Linked DNA regions of Arabidopsis thaliana. The protein of the gene in region 4 interacts with the protein of the main gene of each other region in a biochemical or structural test. Each region holds a gene or a part of one and is shown on either strand. Other genes may lie near its edges.

The links.
Region 1: of the proteins of MPK6 (region 4) and ERF6, one has a biochemical effect on the other in vitro, tested with the Arabidopsis thaliana proteins (2 studies listed by BioGRID).
Region 2: of the proteins of MPK6 (region 4) and MYB41, one has a biochemical effect on the other in vitro, tested with the Arabidopsis thaliana proteins (2 studies listed by BioGRID, with this or other methods).
Region 3: the proteins of MPK6 (region 4) and ERF104 form a complex in vitro, tested with the Arabidopsis thaliana proteins (one study listed by BioGRID).

What each region holds. Positions count from the first base shown.
Region 1 is NC_003075.7:9,749,679-9,757,169, reverse strand, and holds ERF6 (ethylene responsive element binding factor 6), read left to right. Parts: upstream 1-3,008; 5' UTR 3,009-3,348; coding exon 3,349-4,197; 3' UTR 4,198-4,346; downstream 4,347-7,491. Other genes in the region: AT4G17486 (PPPDE putative thiol peptidase family protein), read left to right, coding at 5,969-6,134, 6,488-6,775, 6,862-6,942, 7,039-7,178.
Region 2 is NC_003075.7:13,966,025-13,973,909, reverse strand, and holds MYB41 (myb domain protein 41), read left to right. Parts: upstream 1-4,384; 5' UTR 4,385-4,525; coding exon 4,526-4,658; intron 4,659-4,766; coding exon 4,767-4,896; exon of another isoform or gene 4,897-5,147; coding exon of another isoform or gene 5,148-5,158; coding exon 5,159-5,744; 3' UTR 5,745-5,881; downstream 5,882-7,885. Other genes in the region: DGK6 (diacylglycerol kinase 6), read right to left, coding at 1-34, 117-204, 291-365, 511-578, 733-815, 1,004-1,052, 1,133-1,241, 1,341-1,426 and 3 more; AT4G28100 (uncharacterized protein), read left to right, coding at 7,213-7,806.
Region 3 is NC_003076.8:24,763,929-24,771,532, reverse strand, and holds ERF104 (ethylene response factor 104), read left to right. Parts: upstream 1-3,800; 5' UTR 3,801-4,164; coding exon 4,165-4,890; 3' UTR 4,891-5,189; downstream 5,190-7,604. Other genes in the region: AT5G61610 (Oleosin family protein), read right to left, coding at 281-499, 632-1,049, 1,187-1,434; AT5G61605 (EMBRYO SURROUNDING FACTOR-like protein), read left to right, coding at 2,579-2,642, 2,733-2,917; AT5G61590 (Integrase-type DNA-binding superfamily protein), read left to right, coding at 6,275-6,880.
Region 4 is NC_003071.7:18,135,036-18,144,021, forward strand, and holds MPK6 (MAP kinase 6), read left to right. Parts: upstream 1-3,210; 5' UTR 3,211-3,441; coding exon 3,442-3,674; exon of another isoform or gene 3,675-3,895; coding exon 3,896-4,025; intron 4,026-4,474; coding exon 4,475-4,612; intron 4,613-4,703; coding exon 4,704-5,036; intron 5,037-5,116; coding exon 5,117-5,297; intron 5,298-5,485; coding exon 5,486-5,658; 3' UTR 5,659-5,953; downstream 5,954-8,986. Other genes in the region: AT2G43770 (Transducin/WD40 repeat-like superfamily protein), read right to left, coding at 1-268; AT2G43780 (cytochrome oxidase assembly protein), read right to left, coding at 1,409-1,630, 1,957-2,016; AT2G43795 (corepressor), read right to left, coding at 6,100-6,307, 6,405-6,471, 6,566-6,701, 6,795-6,896. UniProt on the Arabidopsis thaliana protein: Mitogen-activated protein kinase (MAPK) which regulates abscisic acid (ABA) responses in a MAPKKK20-MKK5-MPK6 cascade involved in root growth (e.g. root cell division and elongation) and stomatal response.

The DNA.
Region 1 (7,491 bases), on a different chromosome or scaffold from region 4:
CATTTTCCCCGCATAAGAAAACTACTTTTAATAGAAATGGTGTTTCAAGAAAGAAAAAAAAAATATCCTTTTTTTTTTTTTCCTGAATATTATGAGGTTTTGGGCCGAAATCCGTAATTCCTCCAGATTCGAAACCAAAGCATGTAATGTTAGTTTCGTTCCAAACGTCACTCGAACTGACAACCTCTAAATTTCGCCTAAGATCTTTACCAATTTAACTATATATCCTTTTAAATTCTAAAATTCTCATTTTTATATTTTAACAAAACACAAAAACATACTTACCAGAAGAAAAGAAAAAAGCATTCAAACATTTTCTTTAAATATTCGTACTTTTGACAATTTTCAGTTTTTAAAGTTGAAACTGTACACCATATATATAAAAGTGAGATAAATGTAAGAAATGCACGTGTTCAATCATATGGTTGAAATAGACTGGATACATGCATTTTGATTACTTTTACACACAAGTATTTATAGAATAGTATTATAGTACCTTCGTAGAAATTACATATTCCAACTTAATTGTAGTATACTGTTCAGAAAGAGTAACTATTTATGTCCAATTGCCAAAAAATAAATATTCTATTAAGGAAGTTATTGAATAGTTTTGTTGAATGGAATTCGAGAAGAACAATTTAAGTATGAACTAGTATATTATACGATCAAACTTTTCGTTCTTATTTTATTAACTGAACTATGACCGCGATCACACATGTTAACAAAAAATTAACAAAGGTAAATTAAAATGATGATTAATTATAGAATAATAACGTTAAACATATGAAAACTTTTGGTTCTTATAAAATTTATAGAATAATAACTAAATTAGAACAAAAAATTAACAAAGGTAAATTAAAATGATGATTAATTATAGAATAATAACGTTAAACATATGAAAACTTTTGGTTCTTATAAAATTTATAGAATAATAACTAAATTAGAACAAAAAATTAACAAAGGTAAATTAAAATGATGATTAATTATAGAATAATAACGTTAAACATATGAAAACTTTTGGTTCTTAGAAAATTTATAGAATAATAACTAAATTAGAACAGGAAATCTCACATATTAACAAAAATTTAATAAAGAAAATATAGTATGAAAGTAGGACATGTTGTATAGTGGTTAATACTAATCTCGTCTAATTTCGTTAACTACGTTTTAGAGGCTTAAGGGTAGTTTACAATTTATGTCTCTTGTTGTAAAAAAAAAACATTTACGATATTTACATAATCGAACTTCTTCACTGACTTTTTTTTAAATAAAAAGAATCTAACTGACATCCTCTCTAGACTCAGTTAAACAAAGAGTCTAGAAATTAGTTTAAACTCAAATACGTAACATAAGCCTAGTTTTGGAAACATGTGGACCTCTAGGCTCTAAGTTTTCATTTGTTGTGGATTCTGGCATTTGGCTGTTTTCTAACACACAACTCTGGTGTAACGGTACCATTATCCCAGTTTAAATATGTATAATGCATGTTTATATATATATATATAAAAATTAAAGACTAATGATAAGAAGAAATCAATCAATAATTGATTTTTTAAGTACTAGATTTTTTTCTTTCAGTTTTTGACATCCTAGATTTCCAGAAAAACTTGAAAAACTATAGCTAACATGAACGAATATAGCAAACATTTTTTTTTGTAGGAACGAATTAGTAAACATGAATACTCTGTAATTATTGAGAAGTTAATTATGGATTCGTCTGGGCAATACCCATTGATATTTCCCTTGAAACAAAGATATTTGTAATAAGAACATAAGTACTGGACAGACACACAGAGCTGAACTAGACATGTAAATTATTTACAAATGTTTTAAATAAGTGAAAACGTTGATTTGAAAAATATATTAGAAGATTCATTTAAACCTACATCTAGGATAAGCCTTGAGCAATATGTTTCATATATATAGTATAAATTGTCATACTGATAGAAAATTGCATATGTGTGTGTTAGGCTTTGTAAATTAGTTTCAAGTATGAATCAATATCTATGATGAAGTAAGCACATTCGTACGAAGACGTAAAATGGATATATCACGTTCGAAAGCAGCAACCAAAGCCAAAAGTGGTCACATGGTTTGTTGTTGTAAAATATATATTTTTGGTTATAATTATTGTAGAATAATTGAGACTAGAACTTAATTAGTATTACGATTCCGCTAATTACGCAGCCCTTATCTTTCGAGACTATAACTTTAATATTACGATTCCTCTGATAGTCTAATTATGCATGCATTTTTGTGTGTTTGCGTTTTAGTTTATGTTTTATACGTAAGGTAATATCTATTCACTTACAAATGAAGCGATAAGCTTATAATTTTGTAGCTTGTACCCGTAGACACAATAAAAATGTATATTTATCGGTGTAATGTTTTACTATGTTCGGCAACATTTTAACAACACTTTAGTTTTCAGTGATTATATAACAGCTAGAAATGAACATATATATAGTGTTGATCATTGAAATAAAAACAGCTTTCTGGTCTGAGATGTATAAAACAAAAATAATGGATATTTTATCCCGAAAGATTATGTAGAGATTGGATGAACAAATTACTGGTTGAACTTGAAATTATTGGACTTTTTTTTTTTAAATGTTTTTGGGCAGCTATACGAGAATTCCATGGGTCTTTGTCCACAAAATGTTGGCGACCATACGAAAACATCGTCGACATTCGACAAAGAGAATCTAGTCTTCATAACTAAAATATTTTTAATCCAAAAACAAAAATAACATCCGACGTACGTGAAGTAAAACCAGTGTTTTTCTTCCATCAAATTTTGCAACTATCATAAGTTTTTATATAAAAACGTGTGTTTATCCAAACATTGAGTTGATACGGCCGCTAAATTTTGATATTGCAAATGCATGCATGCGAAGAATTCTCACAACGAGTAGTAAATTAATCAAATATTAACACGAAAGGTACTTTATAATAACTATTACTAAACCGTACTAATATTTTGATAAACATGAATCGATAAATTCTTGTCTAATCATCTGCCAAAGAAACCCAATATTAGAGCGCAGCCTAATTAAAATATTTGTGTTTTGTTTTTTTACCCCAGCTGCCATTGATGAACCACACGATCAAACCGTTGACGAGGGGTTTATAATCTAATCAAACGGTGTAAAACCGGTGAAACACGCGTGTACATACACCATCCCGCATTTGATAATTTTAGATTTTAAGTTTAAAAAATCCTGAGGATGTTGCCTTGAAAGAGTCTCTCATTGACTTGACTCTTTCCTATAAATACACCTTTCCACTCTCTCTTCTCCACTGTCAAATCAAATCCCTCTTCCTCTTCAATTCTCTGTTTCCTCCAAAATGGCTACACCAAACGAAGTATCAGCTCTTTTCCTCATCAAGAAGTATCTCCTCGACGAATTGTCTCCGTTGCCTACTACTGCCACCACCAATCGATGGATGAACGATTTCACGTCATTTGATCAAACCGGTTTCGAGTTTTCTGAATTTGAAACCAAACCGGAAATAATCGATCTCGTCACTCCCAAACCGGAGATTTTTGATTTCGATGTGAAATCTGAAATTCCATCTGAATCGAACGATTCCTTCACGTTCCAATCGAATCCTCCTCGCGTTACTGTTCAATCCAATCGAAAACCGCCGTTGAAGATCGCACCACCGAACCGAACCAAGTGGATTCAATTCGCAACCGGAAATCCTAAACCGGAACTTCCCGTACCGGTTGTAGCAGCAGAGGAGAAGAGGCATTACAGAGGAGTGAGGATGAGGCCGTGGGGGAAATTCGCGGCGGAGATTCGAGACCCGACTCGTCGTGGAACTCGTGTTTGGCTCGGGACGTTTGAGACGGCGATCGAAGCGGCTAGAGCTTACGACAAAGAAGCGTTTAGACTACGAGGATCAAAGGCGATTCTGAATTTCCCGCTTGAAGTTGACAAGTGGAATCCACGCGCTGAAGATGGTCGTGGCCTGTACAACAAACGGAAGAGAGACGGCGAGGAGGAGGAAGTGACGGTGGTTGAGAAAGTGCTAAAGACGGAGGAGAGTTACGACGTTAGCGGCGGCGAGAATGTTGAGTCAGGTTTGACGGCGATAGATGACTGGGATTTGACGGAGTTTCTGAGCATGCCGCTTTTATCGCCGTTATCTCCACACCCACCGTTTGGTTATCCACAATTGACCGTTGTTTGAATTCTATTTTTCTGTTTGGGTCAGCTTGTTGTATGCTGACGTGGAATTATGCTATATCTTTTGCTTATTTTATGTTCACATTCGAGCAAAATTTATTCATTCGTTTATTTGTTTTTTAATACAACTCTTGATATTTCTAAATTCTAACCAATCACCTTATTTAGCGGCTACTGAGACAAAAATCGCATGTAAAGGCGAATCAATATGGAAAGAACAGAGAACACATAACACGAAGCTCCGATCAAATGACTTTTTATCATAGAACGTATTATTTTTCAATGGCATGTAATATGCTCGGATTTATTACCGTAACATCTTTAGCAGTCTCGATTATATCCTATTTGTGACTTAATATTTGAAAGCTCCATGACTCTTTTTTTTTTGCATGTATAAACTCTGACTAATTGACTTTTATAATATCTTGTTTTCTATAGATTGTTTCATTTGATTCATTTCTCATTTGTGACTTCATTTTTGAAATATCTATAAATTTGTAATCAATAATTACAATTAATAAATTAGTTTGGCGGAAAAAGCTCTAATCTTATAATATGGGAATCACGTATATATATTACAATTTCCATATTTTTGCATGGTAATATCTATGACTCTTTTCCTTCTTTTTTTTTTCTTTCTTTAAAACAAAAATGCTATGGTTCTTTTTGCATGGTAAAAGCTTTCCATTTTGATTTTTATACCATCGCCTATACGTCGATCCTTAAGAGTTTCTCTCATCCAATCTTAGACTTTTATACCACAAATCAACTTTTCCCTATATACCACTGCTTACGTTAAGTCATTAATACAGCTAATAGATTATTTAGATAACTTTAATAATCTCTTGTGTGTAAAACTGAATTTTGGTTCTTTGTTTATCTTTTTAGAAATCCGAATCATATCTATATTTACGGATGTGAACACCATAATTCTCAAATGGTATCGCTTCTTTCAGTGAAACCAAATACGAGGCTTCAAATAAATTTTATTATTCAGTATATATAAAAAAATTAAAATGAACAAATCAACTAACAAAAAATTTGAGAGAAAGTATATTGAATATATTTTTTTAAAGTAAAGGGGGGTAAATTGAATATTGAAGTGTAATAATCAATGAAAATTATATTAGTACATACGTGTTAAATATGTAAATACATATATGATTTTTTTTTTGCCAACTAATATTTAGCTTTGACTTTTATTTGTTTTGTTCATTACTTATATGCTTAAGTTTTAACCAAAAAAAAAAAGCAAATCTTCAAAGAAAAAAACTCCGTGTATAAACTTTTCTCGATCATTTTTGCAGTCTCTCTCCCAACCAATCCCATTCTGCTCGACTCTCATGTAAGCTCCGTTTCCTTCGTCTTCCTCGTCTCTCTCGATCTCTCTTGCTCGATTGTTGTACATGAAAACGCACGCGCCCAATTTCAATTATGTTTCGTGGCTTTCCTGATTTGAAATTCGAGCGATTGGATAGATTTTTCTTTTAGAGGATTAGATTTTTGATTGTATGTGTAATTGCTACTGTGTGAATCGAATCCTTGGATCTGTTCTCGTTAGTCGCCAAAGAAGAAGTTGTATACATGTTTGATTGTTTATGTTCGAATTGCTTGAATTCCAATTATTTTGATCTAAGTTATGGAACATTTGATTGTTACTTTTGGTGTTTATATGATGAATATGACCATCAGTTTTTTTTTTTTTTAGTGTTGCAGAGGTTTAGGAAGAAAGGAATGGTTCGATCGTGACTTTGAATTGGGATATTGTGTGTAAAATGTGGGTGCCTACATTGAGCTCAAGCTCATGTTCAAGTGATGAGAGGGATGAGAGCAGTGGAGAAGCCGCGCTTACGCCGGTTTATCTCAATGTCTATGATCTAACGCCTGTCAACAATTACCTTTATTGGTTTGGGATTGGCATTTTCCATTCTGGTATTGAGGGTATGTTTCTTCTCTTTCTCTTTAAGATTCTTGATTGAGATCACGAAAGGAGAAACCTTTCTATGAGTCTGTATATCTGTAAACTCAAGAGAACATTGTCTACTTAGTATGCTTTTGAGAAGGGGATTGTTTCTGGATATAGAAAAATAGCTGTCTTAATGATTTGGTGGCAATACTAGGCTCTTTTGAGAAGGGGATTGTTTGTGGATATAGATGTAGGACCAAGAAAAGTGTTAAACGCTGAGGATTATTTAGTGGAAACTTTCTATGATCCTTTAATAACTTAGATTTTACCTGTTATTTTAGTTATTATTCATTGCTCTCTTTGACACAGTTGTTCAACTTCAATGTAGCTCATAATTTGGAATATTGCTATGGAGCTCACGAGTATCCAACAAGTGGGGTATATGAGGTGGAACCTAGGAACTGTCCAGGGTTCATCTTTAGACGGTCGGTTTTACTGGGAACTACCAGCATGTCCCGTTCAGATTTCCGCTCATACATGGAGAAGCTTTCAAGAAAGTACCATGGTGACACTTACCATTTGATTGCCAAGAACTGTAACCATTTCACTGAAGAAGTATGCTTGCAGCTAACAGGAAAGCCTATTCCAGGATGGATTAATCGGCTGGCCCGAGTAGGTAAAAGATATAATAAACCTTTCTCTGTGTTAAGTTACAAACAAATTGTGTCCTAAATATTTACTCATGGTCTGTTTGAGTTTCAGGTTCCTTCTGTAATTGTCTTCTGCCAGAAAGCATTCAGCTTACAGCTGTTAGTGCTCTTCCCGAACGCCTTGAATTCTCCGGTAAGCTCCTAACTAAGAGAATGTTATAACCAAAAAAACCCCAACTCCTTTGTGATCAAAACAAATCATGAATGGCTTCGTATTTTCCTTATGTAGATGAGGATGAATCAAACTCAGAGGCATCTTCTGTGTCAGATGAAGAAGGATCAGAGCAGCATCTCATAAATGTAGCAGACAGAGAGATTGTGTATCTACAAAACAAACCAGTGCGACTTACCAGAGAGGAGATCCCCTGAGAAACCAACCAGCGACGACAATGTACTTCCTCCTGAATCAACCCAACCAATCATCAAAACTTGCAGAGTGTGGTGTGCCCATGGAAGCTGAAAGGGAGTAAGTTATATATCTCGTTTTGTCACCTTAGTGCTGCGTTGGTTCTGTCGGAAATTCGATTTGGTATTCTTCTCATCATTTTAGGAATGTAAAAACGGATTCCCGGATTCATTTTAATCAGACAACCCTTTGGCAGTAAAAATCTAAAGATTTCTCCATATTTTCCATATCTAGTTACCCCGGTTCTACCCATAAGGCCATAACCATATCGAAAGA
Region 2 (7,885 bases), on a different chromosome or scaffold from region 4:
GTCCATCGTCAACGAATGGTGCAGTTAGGCTTCTCTGTTGAGACAATAGAAAGAAAAAGAGAACCACGTTTTAGTAAGATTATTAATAAAGCAAGAGAATGTTTATAAAAACCTACATCACGTTGTTTCTTAGGATTTGGTGTTCCCCAAGGATTTAGTCCTCCAGAAAAACTAGGAAGATTCAAACATACTATGGACCTTATGCTGCCAGAACAAAAATTTATGTTAATTACTATATTCTCTATTGTACAAATAGAAAGCCTTGCATAACCTTTTACTTATACAGTTACCTTTGGGGAATATGAAGATCATTCCATTGGCCATTTCTATCACAAATCTGAATTTTTGCAAGCTTAGCTATGTTTCTGCAGCAAACGGCATAGATTCAATTGAGAGCAAAATTATATACACATGAAATCAAGTTACATCGAAACTATAAGATGACGTCTAATTTTAATGAGTGGCAAGCGAAATTGGAAAGAATGGATAAGAAAATAAAAATATACTCACTGTGAAGAAGGGTGAAAAAGAGAGGCAAAAAACCATCCTTGTGTGCAACTAAGCTTTAGATATGTGCTCTGGAAGGTCATGAAATCAATGGAAACATTACATATTAGTGTAATTTAGTCACGTGAAATATATTGTACAACTGTCCCACTAATGTAAACATTAGAGCCACATCAATTGAAGACAACATAAAAAAAAAACTTTAAGAGCAAAGGTAATGCAAACCTGATTAACTAGCTGATTTTTAAACCTTTCCGGGTGCAGTTTTCTCTGGGAATGAAATGCATAAGATACTTGAGCATCCATTCCTGCAGTAAAATTTGATTAGGGATTAGCTTGTATCTTCCACAAATACAACCAACCAGTGGAAGTACTGAACATGACAATTCATACAATTAATTTATAATCCAAGTTTCAAATATCATTGACATGATGTTTAGATATCATTTATCTCACACCTAACACAACGTGGAACGTAAAGAGCAAAAAATGTTACCCAAGCTGAAGTAATTCCAGAATCCCCCACGATATGTATGGTAACCTTCCTGAAAATTTGAAAAGAATAATGCTGATCATATAAGAATAAAAGAAAGAGATGATGCGCAAAAGAAGAAAAATATCTTACCATATTTTCTTGATCTGATGGGAAAATACGAGGAAGAGAATGTGGTAGCTTAAGAGTAATATCACAAGAGCCTTCCTTGGGATGCTTCATCCTCATAAGTATCTTCCAACTTGATTAAGATATAAAATGCATACATATATCAATCCAAAAACAAAGTATAATATATGAAAATTGAAAGAGAATGATATATGTGTAATTGAATATATACTTGTCTATCTTCATCTCTTTTGCATTGATCACTTTACCCAAAAAAGACTCCACCGAAGACCTATCTGTTCCAGGATTTTTCTTACCCTGAAGATGATGAGATTTAGTAAGAAGAAACATATTCTATGAGATATAATATGATTTGAGTGATCATCAGTGTATATATACATACCCATCCAAATGCAAATGGAAGGTTGTTACCGGTACCTAAAGGAACCGTAGCAATTGGAGGTGGATTGGATAAATTAAGATCAGAAACAACTCCAAGGAGCCAACCAGCTGTTCCATCTCCCCCTGCAACCTAAATTAAACATAACTCATGCTTAATGACAAATGACTAAATTATTAACACCTTTTCTATTTACGTACCGATGAAGATAACTCACAATGATTTTCAACTTGTCCCGAATCTTGCTAGCCAAACTATCGTCTTTTAACCTCTCTAGGTTAAGATAAATTCTCTGCAGCACTTTATCTGGGGTCTCTACCTCCAGATCAAAAACCTGAGTACCAAATATGCTATAATTAATAACCAATTAAAAAACATGGAAATATAATATATGATAATGATCATCAGTAAAATAATGTAGACAGTTATCTAATTTAATTAGTTTCCATATTTCAATCAAGTTTGATTTTTAGGGTTTTTAGGTTAAAATCAGATATAAAATCAATCAAGTTACGTATTTAAGAAGAATCAACGAATTCATCACTTTTTGTTGTAGAAGCCAATTTCAAAAACCAATGAATCATTAGTCTATGGCTAAAGCCTAAATTGATATATTATAGACCTGCTTGTCGTTGAGCAGAGTACGGTAGGTAAGGATGAGTTCTGCACCTAGTTGACCTCCGCTTTTGGAGTTGATGAATACGAGGATTGGGTTCTCAGGTGCAGTTGTACAACTGATTTGCGCCTCAGGCTCGTCTTCAGGCGAGAGAACGTACGAAGGTATGAAGAATTTCTTAAGGAAATCTGATAAATTCTTGTATTTTTCCATACTCGTCTCTGACTGAACCATTCACATATCAACACTCATCAAGTATTCATATTTAAGATTAATCAAATAACAAATATATAAAATCGACATCGTTAATCATGCAAAAGACGATCGAAGTAGACATCATACCATGAAATCTCTCAAGGGGTTGAAAGATAAAGTTTACTATATTATCGTGTCTTGAAAAAGTAATTAGATTTAAATAATGGAGATCCTGAAGATTTTATAACCTTTTGTTAATGGTATTGCTATACCAAGACTAATTAGGAGTTAGAACAAGGTTAAAGGCACAACGTTGATTTTCCTTTTTCTTTTATATAGATAAAAACACTAGTACTCTTAAATGGTCTTTATGCACATGAAAACGTGATCTTTAACATGCATATCTAATTAGTAATTACTGCTTTTTTTGTTTGTCAAAAATTACAGTCTTTTTTCATTACTTTTTTTGTTAAAGGATTTATATCTAATTTACTGCTGACATATGGAAATGGAGTCCATTGTCTTTGTATTATATATCATCTTTCATATATTTCATACTTTTCTTTAGTTTAATATATTTATACCAATTTATACATATTTAGATATTCTACAAATATTAATTTTTTGTCATCATTTGTTTTATATTTTATAACATTTAACTTATTAAGGTTAAACGCAATTACAAAGTGTAACTTAGCCCGTCACTGATGAGCTCATTTTTACAAGCAATTAAGCCCATTAAGGGTGTAAAGCTTAATTCCACTAATGGCCCATTAAGTAAAAAGCGCTATAGTATTAGGCCTTGTTCGAGAATCTCCTAATGCCATGACTTAGACACAATCTTTGGACTTGACATCAATACATCATCTCTGACGATGACCGATTTCCTTTGGTAAATCTCTGACGATGACCAATCCAGAAGAGAAACCTAAGAGTAGATAGAATGATGCAAAAAAGAAGTGAAAGGATAACCCCACATCACATCTCTTTCCATGTGTCACCTTCTGCATGAATCCACACATTGCTATTTTAAGAAGGTGAAAATATTTTAAAATGTAGACAATAAGCTTCGGTGTGAACTTCGGAGAAGCCTGTGGTTCTTGTGATAAAGGGGATATCGAATTCAAAGTTTGTTGCACTGCTTTCCACCAACAATTTAACAAACATAAAAAATAAAATAAAAAAGTTTCACTTCTTTTGCAATTTTGTAGTTATTTAATTTGCTTTTTGAAATCGTCTAAGTAGTGCCAACGTGGATGGCTTGTTCGGAGAGAGCCTTCCACAAGCAATTGAAACTTGGAATAACGTTGCATAAGTAAAATGTTGCAATCATCAATTTTAAAAGCACAAGGCACATGACATTAACACGTTATTTGAAAGTTTTTTTGATGAGAATATCCAACTACTTTACCGTCCTCACTCTCTTAACCTTTGAAACTCTAGGCTTTATGTTCCAAAATTCAACGTAACATATATTCTCATACTTAATTTTTCAGGTTTTCTTAAACCAAACATTATGTAAAAGTCAACTTACCTATATTAACATGCAAAGTCAACATCTCTTTTTTTGTTTAAGCAAAGTCAACAACTTAACCCACAAACAAAAAGCAAAACATGCAAAATTATTAATGTGCTTCACTCTGACTCTCACCACCATAAGGTAAACATAAAATACTCTCACCGCCGAAGTTACCCCCACAAGGTTTCTATTTTAATCTCTTAGTTCCATTACTTTATCTACATTAACATACAAAAGAACATTCTATCACTCCAAAATATACGCATAAAGATATTATTATTTGAACTAACAGAATCTAAGTTAGATAGATAGATTATATTAAATACCATACATACTATCACGTGGATCGTTTCTAGAATATACAGTAAAAAAAAAACGTTAGGCGATATGTAGTCTAAGCAAGGTTTATAACCTTTTGTATATTTCAAAGGACGTGGCATATTAGGTACATGCCAAGTGGAATTGACCTTGGCTCTCTTCTACATTGATAAAGTTCTTCGCATAATTCACATCCCTATATAAACAAATGAACGGAGAAGGTATGAGTACATCCACACATTGACATTTCTAAAATCCAACTCCTCTTTTTGAAAATTAAGAAACTCCACTTGGCTCTTCGATTTTTTCTATCTAAATAACAGAACCAAATCATTATCGAAATTTAAAGTTGTGCGAAACAAAACAAAGATGGGAAGATCACCTTGTTGTGATAAAAATGGAGTGAAGAAGGGACCATGGACTGCTGAGGAGGATCAGAAACTCATCGATTATATTCGATTTCATGGTCCTGGCAATTGGCGTACGCTCCCCAAAAATGCTGGTACGTATAAACTACACACCGTTCCTTATATTTTGTTCTCATAGATTAATATATATGTTCTCTATTTATTGAGTCACACACTTATAAGTCGTATTGTACAAATTAAAGGACTCCATAGATGTGGAAAAAGCTGCCGTCTTCGATGGACCAATTATCTAAGACCGGACATCAAGAGAGGAAGATTCTCGTTCGAGGAAGAAGAAACTATCATTCAGCTACACAGTGTTATGGGAAACAAGTAAGCCTGATCATTCACACCATAATTTTTGTCTGAAATTCATATTCATCAGCTACATGCTTTTGTATGTTAATTAATGTAAAACTCAAAAAGGGAGAGTGTACGTTTGCATGCGGGGGTACATGTCAAATGTAGGCCATCAACTCCAATAAACTATTATTAGTACTTTACTAGTACGTATTGACCTATATTAGAATAATAATAAAGGAGTTTTGTATTGATCATAGATTAATGTCACTAATATTGAATTGATGAATATTAGGTGGTCAGCAATAGCCGCTCGTCTACCAGGGAGGACCGATAACGAAATAAAAAACCATTGGAACACTCACATCCGCAAGAGACTTGTAAGGAGTGGTATCGACCCTGTTACTCATTCTCCACGCCTTGATCTTCTTGATTTGTCCTCACTTTTGAGTGCACTTTTCAACCAGCCAAACTTTTCAGCAGTTGCAACACATGCGTCTTCTCTTCTTAATCCTGATGTATTGAGGTTGGCCTCTCTACTACTGCCACTTCAAAACCCTAATCCAGTTTACCCATCGAACCTCGACCAAAATCTTCAAACTCCAAATACATCATCAGAATCGTCTCAACCACAAGCTGAGACTAGTACAGTCCCAACAAACTATGAAACTTCATCATTGGAGCCTATGAACGCAAGACTCGACGACGTTGGTCTTGCAGATGTATTACCACCTTTGTCAGAGAGTTTTGACTTAGACTCGCTCATGTCAACGCCAATGTCTTCTCCACGACAAAATAGCATTGAAGCAGAAACCAACTCCAGCACTTTCTTCGACTTTGGAATTCCGGAAGATTTCATCTTAGATGACTTTATGTTTTAATTTTCAACATTTGCATACACATGTCTTGCTTTCACACATATGATTCTTTGTTGCATTCTTTCTTTTGTTTGATGTATAAATTTCTTGTTTTTATTCTCTCAAAAGATATTAAGTTATTAGTCTATAAAATTTTCATGAATGTTTATGTATTATCTGCTTAGGCGAGATATCTAAATTCTGCTCCATTAGTCCATATACACAGTTGACGGAAGCAAACATAGAATTATTAGCGTCAAACACATCACATATTCATATTGCTTTGTTCGAATCATCGTCAATCAAGTTAATCAGTTTATGCGAGTTCTATCATTTAGGCCCAATTCAAGGCCCAATTCAAGTTCATTTTAAAGCCGTTAATTTGGCCAATTTAAGGCCTATATTCCGGAAGCTTGTAGAACTATTTTCTAAAAACCAAATCGATAATATGAGTTAGTTAAACTTGGTCTATATAAAATGATATTTTCACTTTTCAATTCCAAGCAAGAGATAAGTGTGGAACAGTTAAATCTAAGTCTTATATAGATAATTTGAATTTGAGGGATGAAGGCATTTTGACTAATTGGTATGGGCAGGTAAGTAAGCAACACAAAGAACGTGTGAAAATGCTTTAATTGGTGGAATTTGGAACTTAAAGAGGAAGATTAGGAAATGCATTAGTGAAAGTGGGGACGACTCCTTTTTTCTCGCCTTTTGGAGTTTTCACCTTTTTCCCTGACGGACCGTTTCCCTAGGCTGGCCTCCGGCTCATATTCATATACCCGTTTGAAATAAGAGGTTTATTTCTTTTTATTTTTGGATTTGTCAATGCTCATAAAGCGTATCAATGATTTAATATATGATTGTAGAGAGTTTTTGTGTTTTGTCCTTTAGATATCGATCCTTTTCTTCCTGTGACTATGCTCCATTCGCATCTCATCCCACCTCGTTAAGGGCTCGTTATGTTTCTCCACCATTCATATCTTTTTTTTATTTTCTCTAACTCCTATCTTTAAATTTTTCTCTTTCACATATTTTTGCTAGCGTTTTGCGAAATTAAAAGCCACCATGTTATATACATGAACATGTAAATACATTACAAATGTACATGGATAAATATGAACTATACATTATGCTTAGTTACTAATGTAGACATGTAGTTAAGAATTCTTAGTTACTACTAGAACTAGTAGTACAAAACAAAAAGACAAGGCCTATAATTTCCGGAGCTAAACACAGTTTACAAAGGGATTATAGACTCTAAAACAAACCAGAAACTGCCAAAAGTCAGGAATCTCTTGTTTTTCTTCCCTCACATCTCTCTTCTCTCTCTCTTCACAATAGTCCTTTGGACAGAACAAAAGAGAGAGAAGATAGTGAATAATGGAAGGCTGCTTTTCTTCGTGAATCTCAGAATCTTAAAAGACTCAGATTTGAGAAAACGTTTCAATATCTAAATCCATTTCTCTCCCTCTCTCTTTAGCCATTTAGAATGAAGAAAAGTCTCACTCTACTCATCCTCCTCCTCTGTTCTCTCCTCTTCTCCACCGTCTTGAGCAACCTACTCGTCGAACCGGTCCAACCCAACACCGTACCAGCCTTCCCCGTCGAAACCCAAGCTCAAAGCTGCCGACTTGACCTCTCCAACGAGCTATTCGGTGGCGTCAACGAAGCTTGCGGAAGAAACCTTGACCGGAGTCGATGTTGCCCTGTTTTAGCCGCTTGGCTCTTCGCAGCTCACGCTCGCTCTGCTCTCCAGTTACCAGCTCCTGCTCCAACGCCGGAATCTTCTGATCCCGACGAACCCATGAAGCCTGACGACTCTCAGAAGTGCGTCAACACATTGCAAAGTGCGCTTTTGACTAAACAAATCAAGATCCCTCAGCCTAATTCTAGCTGTGACGCAATCTTGTGCTTCTGTGGTATTCGTCTCCACCAGATTAGCTCACTCTCTTGTCCCGCCGCTTTCAATGTCTCCTCCGGCTTCAAAAACGCAACTCCGACCGCCGCCGTGAAGAATCTTGAAAAAGAATGCCGGAACTCTTCTTACTCCGGTTGTACCAGATGCCTCGGTGCTCTTCAAAAGGTTCAATTTTTATAACTTAAGTTCAAATTTTTCGCATTCCGTCACATTAAATTTTCATTCTTTATGTCCCTAGTCCCTA
Region 3 (7,604 bases), on a different chromosome or scaffold from region 4:
ATTTTTATTTAATCTCGACTAAGATTCCGATTGCAATTTTTATATATTAAAATAAAATAAAAAAACATGGTAATCTGACAAATTGAGAGATTCCACCTGTTTAATGTGTTTTTTCATAACTGAAATTTACGCTTTCTAAAGTACATTAATAGCAGCATATTTATAAACAAAAACACATTAGCTTATAGTATTTAATACCTTCAAAATGATAAATTTCGTTTGAACTCTTTATAAGGTAAAAGCGTACCCTTTAAAATAATAACCACCCAAGTCCCAAATGTCATATATGAAAATGGTTTACGTATTTTTTGTCACGAGATGTAAAATATTTATATGCAAAAGCTCCTACACGGGGGACTTTTTGGTATTCTTTCATAAAAATAGATCGTGCTTTAGTAGCATTAGCATCCATGGCGAATCGAAATGGGTGACACCTTTTAGTACAAGTACTTGGGCCGCAACACTTGGGGACAATTGGGTTTTGCTCCACCACCATAACCTACCATTAATTTATGAAGGGAATATTAAAGCAGAACAGTGTTTAATCTTGCTAATCCAAATTCTTTTCCCGGCAATTGCTAAATGTGAAAAAATCATTAACGAAAAAATTTGAACATCACTAATATAGTACCTTTGGTATCTCAGGGATTGACAAATGCTCAACTCCTCCTAAAGGCATATCTTCTTCCACATGCTTATCTCCTTCCGCCGGTTTATCTTTTTGTGGCGGTTTGTCTTCCTCCACCGGTTTATCTCCTTCCGCCGGTTTATCTTTTTGTGGCGGTTTGTGTCCCTCCGCCGGTTTATCTTTTTGTGGCGGTTTTTCTTCCTCAGCCGGCAATTTATCCTCCTCGACCGGCTTATCTCCTTTCAGCAGATTGTCTTCCTTGGATGGCTTGTCTTTTCTCGGCAGCTTATCTCTTTCTGGCGGCTTGTCTTCCTTCAACGGATTATCTCCTCCTGATTGCTTGCCACTTTCTGCCAGCTTGTTAGGCCCATCAGGCCTACCTCCTCGTGCATGCAAAGTAGCTCTGGAATACTCTTCTTTCCTAAGTGTCATTCACACATACATAATGTTAACTAACACACAAAATAAAAATGTGGTCAATGCATGTATGAACAAATTTCAATTGGTACAATCAAAGCATTAGAAGAGTTAATTAGTTACTTTAACTTAAGTAATTACTTGTAGAGCCATATGAGGAGGGCGATCCCCAATGCTCCGAGGCTACCAGAAGCTAGGAACCCCGTTGCCAAGAAACTCGATGTGATTACCGCCGGTACGAGAATCGGACTAAGAACCACCAAAACCGGTATCATAACGGTTAGAGCCACGGCCGTACCGGCAAAGGTTAAACCGGTGAGGATCATGAAGGATACGACGGCTATACCGGCATAAATAGGAGCTTTGTCTTTCGTGCCAAAGAAATGCATTTGGCAGTAATAGAAATTTTGTTACAACGTAATCTGATTGTGTATTAAAGAGTGGGTCCAGTGGTGAGATCGACGTGTACGACACATGACTGAAGAGAGTATTTGTCCTGTCCATGCATGCAACTGACACCTTTGTTAGTGAAGTTGCTCTACCTCACGCCAAGTTACTTCGCTTTTTTTGTTCACATCTTTTTTGTATGTATTAAAAAATTTCACATTTTTTTGGCCTCGTTCGTTTACTTTTCTTCTTTCGTAAACACACACAAATTTGAAAAAAGGAACTCAACTATTATATATCAATTTGAAAAAATCGACACAATATGTGAAATGAAAGATATGAACTAGAGATAATTAGCAGGCAAAATAAAATCTGATAAGTATTGCAAGTTTGCGACGAACAAAGAGTGAATCAAAAGACTGCAATTAAACAAAAACCACAGTATCTGCAGGCTATATGAAACTACAACTTCAAAATGTTACCGGATAAATTAGTTTCAATTTTCGACGATATGTAGCATAGTGTGGTTAATTATATTGACGAAACCTTTGTATTGATTGCAATTATAAGTGTAAATTTTGGCAAGTTGATGTGTAAGCTCCTTCGTGGATCCAACAAATAATTAACAGCTATGGCCGATGGCGTTGATGAGTGGTCGCTTCTTTAGTCATAGCGGTCAGACAATTCAACTTCATTTTATTTTATTTATTTATTTTGCCATCATTCAACTTCATTTCTTGGATGAAACAAATTCAACATTCAAAATTTTTTTTTTTTTAATATATATATAAATTATAGATATTCCATTATACTTTAGTTTCCATTGAAACCACTATTTGATGGATGATTCTTCATTTATTCTTGTCGACCAAATTAAACTTCTAATGGTTTTAGGTCTGATTAGTATTTCTTTCAAAAACAATTTTCTTTTAAGAGAAAAGGTCATATTACTAAGGAATAGCAAAGAACTAAAACTAATAAAACAACTAGCTCTAAGCGTTTTTTTGTGCATCACTATAACAAGAGACGTGCACTTTTAATTAGTAGTTTAGTACTATATAAAACCCTATTACTTGTGTGGATTTCGACCAACCTATAACAAACAACGTTTCGGTATAATTTTAAGAAGAATATATCACAACAACAATGTCATCATTATATTTTGCTATCCTTTGCCTCTTCATGATTTTCCTCGTTCCTTTACATGAATGTAAGTACATACATTTTTGCATGCATATAACTCATCATCTACCATCGCAATTATAGTTAGTTTTAACTCCTATTTTCTCTTTTGTTATAGTTGGAAACGCACAAGGTTCTGAGGCGGAGCTGCAATTAGATCCATCAATGTGTCTGCGTGTCGAATGTGCAAAACACAGAAATCAAAAATGGTGTTTTTGCTGTGCCGGACTACCGAGGACCTGTTTTCTTGATAAACGAGGCTGTACGTCTGTCTGCAAGCGCGAATCTCCTTCAATGGCTTAAGAAACTTGAAGAACCCATATCTACAATTTACTAATTACGTTTAAATTTCTCTTGATATATGAATAAATATAAGTTTATGGAAAGGAAACAATTACGATTATGCTTATCGTAATTTAACATATTTTTTTTTATTTTTTTTTATGTTTATGGTAATTGTGTTACCATTGCAATTTGCATGTCTACGAATTCGTCTTGCATTGGTAATCCAATATTCCATGTGATGCTTTTCTTTCTAACTGAAGGTATTCGTGAAAACGAATTCAAGATTGTGGGAGATAATTAGGGTTTCGTCAAAAGCATGAATTAGGAAAATTTGGGATTGATTTTTTGAATTTGGGAAAAGTCCTAATTTTAATTCGATCAAAGCTTAAATGATGTCGTTTTGGGCTGACTAACGAAGTCGTTAACAGGTGCCAACGAGTGTTAAAAATCTGTTATCGCTTGATAACTCTTTGGTTTTTTAGTCTAATCAACACATTCTCATGTTTCAAACAGTTAATCAACATATTGTTCATGTTAAAAAATTAACACATGTGAAATTGATATATAAAAATATCATATATTTTCAAAAGTTGGATCATTAAATAAAATTTTTCCCTATTTTTGAAATAATTCTAAAACAGTATTAAAGATATTTCCTGAAATTGTTTGCATGTGATCGGTTTTGGACCGAAACTAAAAAACTTAGAAACTATATTAACTTTGAGTTGTCGAGATGAAGATGTGAAATAGAAATATAGGATCAATGGTTAGAATTTTGGCAAATGTATGAAGGTGTGTTTGATTGAATATTCCAAGTCCTTTGCCTTTTGGAATTGGCATAACTACTACAACAAAGTTTTGATAGGTTTTCCGAATTCTTTAAACTCCTTAAATTTTTAATACATCTCAATCAAACTCCACTTATACTAAAAATAATCCATATTGCATTTTTAAAAATTCTAAAAGAAGAATCACATGATAACTTGATAAGCACTTTTAAATGATAGATGTCCACGTAGAGGAATAAGACAAAAAGACAAAATAAAGAAAAAGGACGAAATCTAAAGAGAGAAAATAAGTAACAAGTCCAAGAAAAGGTAGTATGATCTTTCTCGGTCCGATCCTCGAAACTCCCTCGAAGGCTCGAACCCTCTCTTTGTTTTTTTACCACTATATAAGAAAGTCCGATTCCTCGTCACTCTTATTCCCACTTCCACACATACACATATACAACAGAGCAAGAGAGTCAATCAAGTAGAGTGAAGATGGCAACTAAACAAGAAGCTTTAGCCATCGATTTCATAAGCCAACACCTTCTCACAGACTTTGTTTCCATGGAAACTGATCACCCATCTCTTTTTACCAACCAACTTCACAACTTTCACTCAGAAACAGGCCCTAGAACCATCACCAACCAATCCCCTAAACCGAATTCGACTCTTAACCAGCGTAAACCGCCCTTACCGAATCTATCCGTCTCGAGAACGGTTTCAACAAAGACAGAGAAAGAGGAAGAAGAGAGGCACTACAGGGGAGTGAGACGAAGACCGTGGGGAAAATACGCGGCGGAGATTAGGGATCCGAACAAAAAGGGTTGTAGGATCTGGCTTGGGACTTACGACACTGCCGTGGAAGCTGGAAGAGCTTATGACCAAGCGGCGTTTCAATTACGTGGAAGAAAAGCAATCTTGAATTTCCCTCTCGATGTTAGGGTTACGTCAGAAACTTGTTCTGGGGAAGGAGTTATCGGATTAGGGAAACGAAAGCGAGATAAGGGTTCTCCGCCGGAAGAGGAGAAGGCGGCTAGGGTTAAAGTGGAGGAAGAAGAGAGTAATACGTCGGAGACGACGGAGGCTGAGGTTGAGCCGGTGGTACCATTGACGCCGTCAAGTTGGATGGGGTTTTGGGATGTGGGAGCAGGAGATGGTATTTTCAGTATTCCTCCGTTATCTCCGACGTCTCCCAACTTTTCCGTTATCTCCGTCACTTAAAACTTCGGAAAAGTCAACGTACGATGACGTTTTCACTTGCGTCACTCTCATGATTTCATTTATTCTTGTATAATATAAAGGTAGCGGTAGTGTGCAAATATCAAATAAGTAGTTTAATTAGTACCAATCATTTTATTCATTATTTTTTTTAGTAGAATATTTGGATGTTGAAAATATAAATTTAATTTTGTATTTGTTGATGTTATAAATTTATTGATTGTATAAACATTCTTAGTCATCAGTTTCGTTAAGTCCATATCTAAACACTTCATATCTGCTAAATAGTCAATAGATTATAAAATTGGATCAGGAAAAAGTAAATCGGAGCTATAAAAAAATAGTGTGCAACGAAAAGACAATTAATTAGTTAAAAATACATACAAATCTAAACAAATTCAAAATTTCAATAGTGGAAAACACCAATCAAATGGATAATGCTGTCGAAGATTATCTACAAAGCATCAATAAAAGTAAATAATTAATATTATCTTACATGCTATTATAAAAGATTATGAGATTAGGAGTATAATTGTCAAGCAACTGAGCAAGAGGGTAAGGTTTGGTTATTATATATGTGGAGCCCTATACGAAGTTATGTAGAAACAAAGAAATATCAAGTTGCTTCAAATCATATCCTAGCAAGACAACCCTACAAGACAAGCAATTTGATGAATTTGTCTCTCCTTTTTATTCGAGTGAAAGTCATTATCTTCTTATCTTTTTACTCGAATGTGAATATGCAAAATATCTTTTGATATTTAAGAGCTTACCTAGTGAGTCATTACTACTACGAAAATCATATATCAATCTTATCATAAAACTTTTAAGATAAAAAAAAAAAAGAAAAAACTTTTGAGAGATTGGCTTTTAAAGACTTAAGTTACGATTATAAACACTAGTAGTTCAAGTCTTTTTGGTTTTGGTTTGTGTTATGTTTTAGATTTAAAATTTCAAATGAACCTACGTCCTTAACCAACTCAATCAAAATTCTAGTTAAAAAAAATAATCACCATTTTGTTAGCATTCAGCTTAGGATTCGAACCATGGGTAGCTCAAGGTATTTTAAACTCTAGAGGAATAAAATGGATGTTAGTGAAATTTGTCAGCATCATAGACAAGATCAAGTTGGCACAACTTGAAGGGTCCTGACAAAATATCTTAAGTTGCCTCCATAAATGTTTAATGGATAAGACTTGGCCCCACAGAGTTAAACCAGAGAGACACAGAGAGAGACTTTTGACACCTCACCCATGGCTGCGTTAACACATGTTTAGGATTCCTTTCTTTATATAGCCAACAATATCATCAAAACTTTTTCTTCAAACACCACTTGCAGTTTTTCTTATTCTCCTGTCTTGTCTAAAGAAAAAAGAGAGAGGAAGAAATGGAGACTTTTGAGGAAAGCTCTGATTTGGATGTTATACAGAAACATCTATTTGAAGACTTGATGATCCCTGATGGTTTCATTGAAGATTTTGTCTTTGATGATACTGCTTTTGTCTCCGGACTCTGGTCTCTAGAACCCTTTAACCCAGTTCCGAAACTGGAACCTAGTTCACCTGTTCTTGATCCAGATTCCTATGTCCAAGAGATTCTGCAAATGGAAGCAGAATCATCATCATCATCATCAACAACAACGTCACCTGAGGTTGAGACTGTCTCAAACCGGAAAAAAACAAAGAGGTTTGAAGAAACGAGACATTACAGAGGCGTGAGAAGGAGGCCATGGGGGAAATTTGCAGCAGAGATTCGAGATCCGGCAAAGAAAGGATCCAGGATTTGGTTAGGCACTTTTGAGAGTGATATTGATGCTGCAAGGGCTTACGACTATGCAGCTTTTAAGCTCAGGGGAAGAAAAGCTGTTCTCAACTTTCCTTTGGATGCCGGAAAGTATGATGCTCCGGTCAATTCATGCCGAAAAAGGAGGAGAACCGATGTACCACAGCCTCAAGGAACAACAACAAGTACTTCATCATCGTCATCAAACTAATGGGGGAATAGTGATGTTTAATTAGTATATATAGGTTAATATCTTAAGTATGTGAAGCATCATGTATAGAGCCAAGAACCTGTTAGACTAGTGTACTGAAAAGAACTCTTGCAAAATATGTACTAAAGAGTTCCTGTAACAATGGAACTTCTGCGTTTTCTCTTGTCTTAAAGAGCTTAAGGTTCTAGAAACAAAGTTCTTGTCCTTTCGGTTTATTCAGAGTACACTATTTGGGAAGACAAGAGGACCTAAATCTATCGACTACATTTATTTATTAATCTACTGTGATACTTAAAATCGAATTTCTACCTGAAAGACCTTAACATAAGCCTTAAAGTTTCTCCAATGACACAAACAGTACCGTACAGTGGCTTCAGTATTCACTATTCGATATCACTGAGGTATTAATTAGTTCACATGTCCAGAAAGCGTGAATCAGTGAATTGAGTAGAAAGATGAACAAGTTGCAAGAGGGACCAAGTTTAAAGAATATAGCAGCCAGAGTTTTGTCTCATGGTTGGGTACAAGTCAGCATTCATTTTTTAAATATGACAAAGAATTGGATGGACCACACGCAACAGCTCAAGAGGGGAGAGATGCACAAGTTGCAATATGGAAAAGTAAACAGAGGAAGATATGTATTAACATCTCAACCTCATCGTTGAGATGGATGTTGATTATTATTATTAGGAATAACTAAAACCAAAGAATTCTTATAAGTTAT
Region 4 (8,986 bases):
TGAAGTTTTTGCAGTCCCCGTGAACTCTCCAGAGGAAGATTTCTCTGTCATGGGATCCAGATGCAATCAGAGTTCCAGCAGGATTGAACTTCATGGTATAGACAGCACTCGGATGTCCACTTAGCAACATGATAGGTGCTTCCAAGCTCGAGGTCCGGTTCTTGCCATTGGGACCAGGTCCTTGAGAAGCACTGTGTGGGACGGTAGACCATTCCATCGGCCTAGGACCTGACAAAGCAGTCTCATTCTCTCTTGACATGATTTCCATCTTAGCCTACTTCTCACTGGTAATCAAGTTAGAACCTGGATTCCATGAGAAAACGAATCAGAAGATTGAGCGAATTATAACAATATTCACACAGCTGTGTAGCTTTTATAGATATCTCAATTTCAAAATTTTCAAGCCATTAATCAATATAACATCCGAAAAGCAGATAGTAAACACCAAGAAGTATCATGAAACCTGCACATTCTAAGTAAAGCCTACAAAAGCAAAAGGTTGCAATGTTTATTCTCAAGCCGCAAGTAAATAAACACAGATCATTAAGAAATCGATATCTCTCTAAAACTTGTTGTGGTTTTGCACCAGAGACGAAAAAAGGACTTCAAGTCCGGTTACAGAGATCTCACAGATTCAATTTTGACATAAAGCAAAGCAACCACTAACACCAAATTTAGTACTAGCAGCTCGATTCGTCTCAAAATCGAAACATACATGCATGATTCACCTCCCATTATATTACAGACAGTGAAGAGTTCAAGAAAAAAAGCTTGATAGATACCAAAATTCCAGCAGAAGACTTCATAGAACGAAATTACTTAAAAGAGTAACCCTACATAGAAAGAAGTTACGCACCGAAGTCAAAGGAAGGGGAGGGAGGCACGAATCGCTCGGTGTCGTCGCAAAATTACCGGAACCCTAAACCCAGAGAGAAAAAGCTCGCGAGAAAGAGGAAGAGAGAGATTCAGAAATTAAACAAGTCTGTATTTAATTTTGGTTTATTTGCAAAATATTGATAAGACCCTATTTTATGACGGAATGAACCCGATACTATTCTTTTTGTCAAAATAACCCATCTCCTGCATGTTTTTTGGGCTGACAAATTGGGTTTCTTTTGATTGATTTTGACGGCGTAGTAACAGAAATTTATGGATAGCCACACCTTAGCTTAGACCAAACGTTTAGGTACAAAGAGTATGATAAAGTTGAGAACTTAAGACAATGTCAAGAACATCAAAACCATGTCCTGATCATACATTCTCTTGTTTAATCAATGTATTATAGATTGGACTGAGACTCAAACACAGATGCCACTCGATGTCAGAAACGAGCCACTTTCGTGACAAAAGAAGCTTGGAAAGCAAAGATAAATAACGGGTTTGGTTGGACATATCAAGCCAGTGAGGATTAGACCTTAGATGGAACCTTGGTGTCAGTGTCCACCTGTTTTTGGCCTTCGAACTTGTCTATAGCCACTTGAAGCTCGTCTGTGCCACCAACCGCCCTCATTGTGTAGAAGTATACCCCAAAAACAAAAGCTGTCAAGCCACCAGCTACAACCGTGTTCTTGCCTTTTGGGCCTAGGTAACTAAAACCTGGAAATCCCGCCATTACTTCAAAGTCTTTAACCTGCAAGATCCAATGTGTCACATGTTACAGAAGAGACCCAAGTATCAGAAGTATTAGATTATGTTATATCTTCAATATCACAGTTTCATAAATACTAAGATGAGGAATAACAAGAGAGAACTCTGAAGCATGATATAACAACTTTTGATTACTCTTTTTAACATTGCAGAAGTGACTCCAGAAGCCCTGAGGCATCGCAGGACATTGACATATTGTTCATATAGTGAAAAACAGATTACACAGATTGAATACGACGAATTTTCGAATTGTTATACTTATACCTCATCCTAAGAACTACTACGCCAAGAGTAAGTGATAGTACTCACAACGAGATCAAAGATGAGTACAATCATGGTATGAATGAACAACTGAAAGTTGCAAAACATTTCAGCAAAATAGAACTTTCTTCTGCATCATAATGGAAACGGAGAGAAAATCAATTGGTCACATTCATGCCCATCAGTCTAACATAATTGTCCACAAAATCAGCGCACTTCCCTTTAACGAGTCAATCAACCATAAATCATCAACCAAAGCAAAAATAAAGGCAATTAGAAACCTAACTCTACATCTATACATCCAAAGCTAACATCTTTTAAACGCAGGCTACTGTTACTCAACCAAAGTTCTCAAAACCAGATCAAAATGTCAAAATGAAAGGAGAGCAGAAAATATCAATCAAAAATTGGTTCTTTAAGCAAATTACTCCAAAGTCCACAAAATTAAAATGGAATCGAAAGGAACCTGGTGATGAAGGTTTGATGATCACTCGAAAATCCGAAAGATACAACAAAGCTGATATTTTTTTCTTCTACAGAGAATCGTGCCTAAATGCGACAGAAGCCTAAAGTTTCCCTATTTAGTTGACAACTGGTTCGGTGACGCTTAGTGTCGTGGCCACTTACCAATCTATCGAAAACCCTAAACCCAGTAAGAGCTCTCGTGTGAAAGAGGGATAGAGGCAGAAAGCAAGCCGTCTCGAGTTCGAACCCAACTGTATAACACAAGAGAAGAGATTTATTGCTTCATTATGTAAAAAATATTGAGATGATCCTTGTAATTTTGGAATATTATCAAATTGAACCACCATACTTTTTAAAAATCCAAATAACCCTCAACCAAGCATGTTTCATGTTGTGGCCTCATTCACACTATACGACTATCAAGTTCATCGAAATTCTTGATAGAGAACTTTAAATACTTAAATAGTTAATTTAGATACTATCTAATAACTTTTGGCGGTTTATAAGTTTTTGTGTTTTTCAATCTACATAAAATTTAGCGATTTTTCATGTTACAAAAATAATCTCAAAATTAAAGTACAACCCAAAAACATAATATCAATGATAATAACTACATTTATCTATGATTCATTTTCACCCAACATTTACATTCAAAAAAATGCTGTTGTTACTTGTTAATGATAACGATTAAGGAAGGAAGTCAATGGAACAAAAAAAAAAATGGTGATAAGTCAATGTAAAACGATGCCGTTTGTAACCATAACAGTGTTAAACATGAGAATAAAGGATCAAACTTTGAACAGTGGCTTGCTTGCTTGCTTACACACACGGGTCAAGTGAAGACCCAAAAAAAAATAAAAAAATTAATAGATCCGTACGCACATGACTTTCACTTCTTGTCTCTCAGATCTGTTTTGACCCCAAAACCAACGAATATCAATTTCTCCAATTTCATTCATAATTCACTCACCCCAAAATTACAAAAAAAAAAAAAAAAAAAGATTTTCCATTTCCCTCTTCTCGATCCACCACCACCACCAACCTCAAAAGCTTTCATCTTTACCGGTCATGGACGGTGGTTCAGGTCAACCGGCGGCTGATACAGAGATGACAGAAGCTCCTGGAGGTTTTCCCGCGGCGGCTCCATCGCCTCAGATGCCTGGGATTGAGAATATTCCGGCGACTCTTAGCCATGGTGGTAGGTTTATTCAGTATAACATATTTGGAAACATCTTCGAGGTCACCGCTAAGTATAAGCCTCCGATCATGCCTATTGGCAAGGGTGCTTATGGCATCGTTTGGTAATTTTTCTCCGATTCTTTTGATTTTTGGCTTTTGCTTCTAATTGAAATAAAAAATGATTTTTGTTGATTGGGTTTTGGTAAAGTTGGTTACTTTTGATCCGCAATTTGTAAAATTGATTCCTTTGTATCGTTTTTGAGCTCTAATTATGATTGGGATTTATTTTTGTTTCAATGAAAGCTTTATCCTTTTGTGGTTTTATTTGATTTTGATTTTGCAGTTCGGCTATGAATTCTGAAACTAACGAGAGCGTTGCGATTAAGAAAATTGCTAACGCTTTTGACAATAAGATTGATGCTAAGAGGACTCTCCGTGAGATCAAGCTGCTTCGTCACATGGATCATGAAAATGTCAGTTTTTGCTCTTTCTTTGTTAACTAAGAGTCATCTGTTTATAGAGTCTTATGTAGAACATAATAGGATTGTAGATTTAAATACACTCGAAACATGGTAACTACTAGCTGATGCAAAATTGTTTAGGTAAATAGATGATGTATATATTTGATTGATATTGTATGGGCTGATTAGGTTCTGTGTATGAATGTGTTGTATCTGGTGGTTGCTTATTGCATTTAGATTTAAGGGAATATACATGAATGTTGACACAGTGTGCTTGTATTTTTTTCGGTTTGATACGGATTGTTTCGCGCTTATTCAGTAGTATGATCTTTTCCATCTGCGTCAAGATTTTAAATTCTAGAAATCAAATCGTAAAATGTAACCGTTTATCTATGTTGGCGTTTGCAACGTGTAAAACATTTCCGATTGATAAAACACTTACCATCTTTCTGTTAAATCAGATTGTTGCAATCAGAGATATTATCCCGCCACCATTAAGAAACGCTTTCAACGATGTTTACATCGCGTATGAGTTAATGGACACTGATCTCCATCAAATCATTCGGTCAAATCAAGCATTATCCGAAGAACATTGCCAGGTTTTGAGTTTTGAGATTGTTTGTTGACCTATATAACTCGACTTGAAAACGGGGACTAATTGAACTCCATTTCACTTGTCTCTTTGTGCAGTATTTTCTTTACCAGATCCTCCGTGGATTGAAATACATTCACTCTGCAAATGTGCTTCACAGGGATTTGAAACCAAGTAATCTCCTCCTGAACGCAAACTGCGACCTAAAAATCTGCGATTTTGGGCTAGCTCGAGTCACTTCTGAGAGTGATTTCATGACTGAATATGTTGTCACGAGATGGTACCGTGCACCAGAGCTTCTCTTAAACTCTTCTGATTATACTGCAGCTATCGATGTTTGGTCTGTAGGCTGTATTTTCATGGAGTTAATGGACCGTAAGCCACTCTTCCCTGGACGAGATCATGTCCATCAGCTTCGCTTGCTCATGGAGGTAAGTAGTAACCCTTCTTTGACCCAAAAATAAGCTTTGAAGCACTAAAGAAACAGACCGAGACCATTTTCTTTTTGCAGCTCATAGGAACTCCATCAGAAGAAGAGCTCGAGTTCTTGAACGAAAACGCAAAGCGATACATAAGACAGCTTCCACCTTATCCTCGCCAATCCATCACTGATAAGTTCCCGACAGTGCATCCTTTAGCTATAGACCTTATCGAGAAGATGTTAACATTTGATCCTAGACGGAGAATCACAGGTTAGTCCCTAACCTCTATACCATTTTTAACTTGCAAAATAACTGGAATTGCTTGTACGGATCATTCCAAAATCCCGAAAAAAGATTCAATCTAGTGAAGGAATAATAATAATGAGTTCTTGGTTATTTAAGAGTTAGTTAGTAGTCATCACCTCTTATTGATTCTTGATTCTCGATTCTTGATTCAGTTTTAGACGCATTGGCCCATCCATACCTGAACTCGTTGCACGACATAAGCGATGAGCCAGAGTGTACAATACCTTTCAACTTTGATTTTGAAAACCATGCACTCTCAGAGGAGCAGATGAAGGAACTAATCTACCGCGAGGCGCTTGCTTTCAATCCAGAATATCAGCAATAGTTTGAAGAACAGCATTTGGGAGATGAAGATGAGATAAGGGTTTGGCGTTATTTGGTTTGGACAACATTCTTAAAAGGAGGAAAGATCATTGTTTGTCTTTTGTGTATACTTGTGAGAGATGTTGAAGGGGATGGGTCTCAAACTTTATATTTCAGTCTTTTGGATAATTTGTTCTCTCTGTTTTTTTTTTTCCTATTCGTATTTGTAATTTGCCCTCATTTTGTTGTTGCAGTTATTTAAGACTTAAATTGTCTCAGAAATAGTTATGTTATGATAGCCCACCTTCAATTCCTCTACAAAATACTTGCCATTACTGTCAGCTTTCTTGTTTTATAAAACAGCAGGGAGAGAAATATTGCAGGGAGATGAGGATAGTACAAATCATGTCCTCGGGGTGAAAATTGAGCATTTGATGAACACAATCTCAAGTCTTGCACTGTGTCAACTCTTAAGACTGCCAAAGAATTTTGATTGTGGTGCAGGACCATCAGCCTCATCTTTACTTTGGTTTTGAGTGTCTGCCTCTAGACTTGTGTTTCCTCTCCCTCTTTGGCCTCTTAGAACTTGACCTTGACTTCCTAGATTCGTCTTTGTCACTACTTGAAGATTCAGAAGATGAGCTTGAGTCTGATGATCGCCTTTTCGAATGCTGCAAATCAATAAACACAATGTAAGCTAAAAGCTTCAAGCCAACAGAATTATAGAAGATGTTCAAACTAAACTCGATGCAGTTGTTATGTAAGCACCTTTCTCTTTTTGCTTTTCTTCCTCTTGGAATCTCTGCACTTTCTATCTGTGAGCTCTCTCTCCTTCCTATCTGTAAGATCAAATGGCATATTAGAAAAGCAAGACTCGAACTGCGGATTGTATGACATTCCATCTGCTTAAATTTATTGTAAGTGTATACCTTTCCTGGATATGTCACTAGAATAGTTCCTTCCCTTAGAGAGCTTCATTGCCCTTTCAGCATCTAGCTGAGCTCTATACTCACGCATCAATTTATCGGTATCTGCTTCGACTTCTTGCTTTTTCAATTCTTCTTCCTAAAGAGCGGTCACATGAAGCATATAGAGTGAGAAACATTTCTTATCTGTCGATGCTCCTAAAAACATCGATTTATCGATCAGCAGCTATACCTTTTGCTTCTGCTTATATTCTTCCCAAGTAAGAGTGTGTGTAGTCTTGAGACTGGCCAAACGAGCTGCATGCCATTCTGGTGAATGAAATGAACCATCCATCTGCGACTCGCCTCATCAGAAATGTTTTGGTAACAAGATAATAAGCATAAACATAACAATCTAGCCAGATTAACATGACAGAGAGAGGAACAAAGTAGCCCTAAACAAAGAAACGTTTTAAAACGTGATATTTAGCGTTTTGTTGTTTTGTTAAGGATAATATTTAGCGTTTTGAAGTTCAGATGGATTTGTTTGGGCTATTTTCACCTATCCACTCTTGTAATAGTCTCTATATATCCCATGTTATCACGACGTCAATAACATTTTATGAACTTATATTCCATAGAAAAGAATACTTTGAACATGAAACGATTATTAAAAAAAAGGCTATGGAGGATGTTGAAGTTTAAAGTAAAAAGGTGTTATACCTCGCCGTGACCAATGTACTGATCTTAATCCTCCTGAAATTAGACGAAAAGCTCTATAGTTGGCTGACCTAAAGAGGGGAATGTGTGTGCTATCGGATCATAAAGCCTTTGGTAAGTGGCTTGTTTCCATTCCATTTTGAAGATGCTATAAAGGATCTCTTTGATCACATTTTTACAGATTTTTTTCAAGATGGCAATAAAGAGGCTGATAGGATAGTCAAAGAATCACATTTCTATAAAAGTGTGTACTAAGGTTCTATTCCATTGTGCCGGATTGGTTAAAATTGTATGTCAAGAAGGCTCATTAGTCTTCATTGTATTAAATATTGGAGTAATGAATTCAAGGGATCATATAATGTTTTGTTGAGAAAACGGTCCATATTGTTTTATAATGGGCCTAAAGCCTCGTTATAGTAATCGTTATTTTGCAAATAAAACCAAACTATACACGAGCTTATACAACAAATGTCACATTTAAACATAGTTTCTTTAAGAAAAAGAACTAATCATTTCTAGTGAATTATTCAAGTGAAACTAAAAAGAAAAGAAGAAAAAAAAATCTAGATGAAGCAAGCTAAAGCTATTGTAGCACTTTAGCTTTGGCTTTCCTATTTTTGCCAACTTTTACTCTTTTTTATTTAGTTTTCTTTTACTTTTTTTCCCACAAAAATCCAATCCTATGCAAAAGATTTTGCCTTTCACGTCGTTTGGAGCACGATTCACTCTAAAAGGTACGTTTTCTCACAAGTACCCCCAAAAAAGTTGCATACTCAATATACACACAAGCTAATAGTATAAATCACTTGCTTGAAGAATTTGAAATCACTGACGAAAATAATAAGCTCCTTTTACTTTCTTCTCTAGTTTCAAAACGTTAAATACTTTATATTGTTTTTGTTTGTCAACGTACTTTATATTTTACAATTTTCAATACATAAATCATAGCTTTTTATTATCTCCAAAGTTGTTCTCTTTAAAGAAGAAACTCCAATCAAAAATCTCACGTTTGAATGATGATGCAAACAATCACATTTAAATTCTACAATAAATAGTGATAGAGATAATTCATTATTTCATTTGTACAGTTTGGTTGTATGATTTGATTATGGTGTGTATATCTTAGTTGAAAGGGTAACATCGTAAATTAAATGTTACTTTGAAAACCGGAACAGGTAATAGTCGGTGAATAAGAGGGCTAACAAAAGAGAGAAGAAGACTGACACGTGTACATAAAGAAAACAAAGTGGGATGACTCAGTGAAACGTTATGGATTTGCGTGATTCACGGGTTTACAGTAAAATGTTCTCGTCGTCTAGCTCTCTCTCTGTACGCTCTTTTTGTACTCAGTTTTTGTTGCTCCGACTATTTCTCACCGACGGTTTTGTTCTACGTCGTCGTTTTTTGTTTCACTTGTAGTGTATAATTGTTTACACTTATTAGTGTTATCATGAAGACTAAACAATAGTTTAATGGTGGTCAGAATGAATCTTTTTTTCAACAGAGGGAATGTTTTGCATAGTTTATTAACTACATAGCTTAACTTTATTGACCAAACCTTAAGTGGAATTTTCAAATTGCGGTTAATTGTAGTTTTGGAGAAGTAATAGATGAAAAGTTGTAAAAGTTAAGACAACTTAAAATAAAGAGAAGTACAAGTGAAATTTGAAATTTCTAAGAAGAGAGAGGAGAATCTTTGGAGAAGTGGAACATGATGCAAATCCC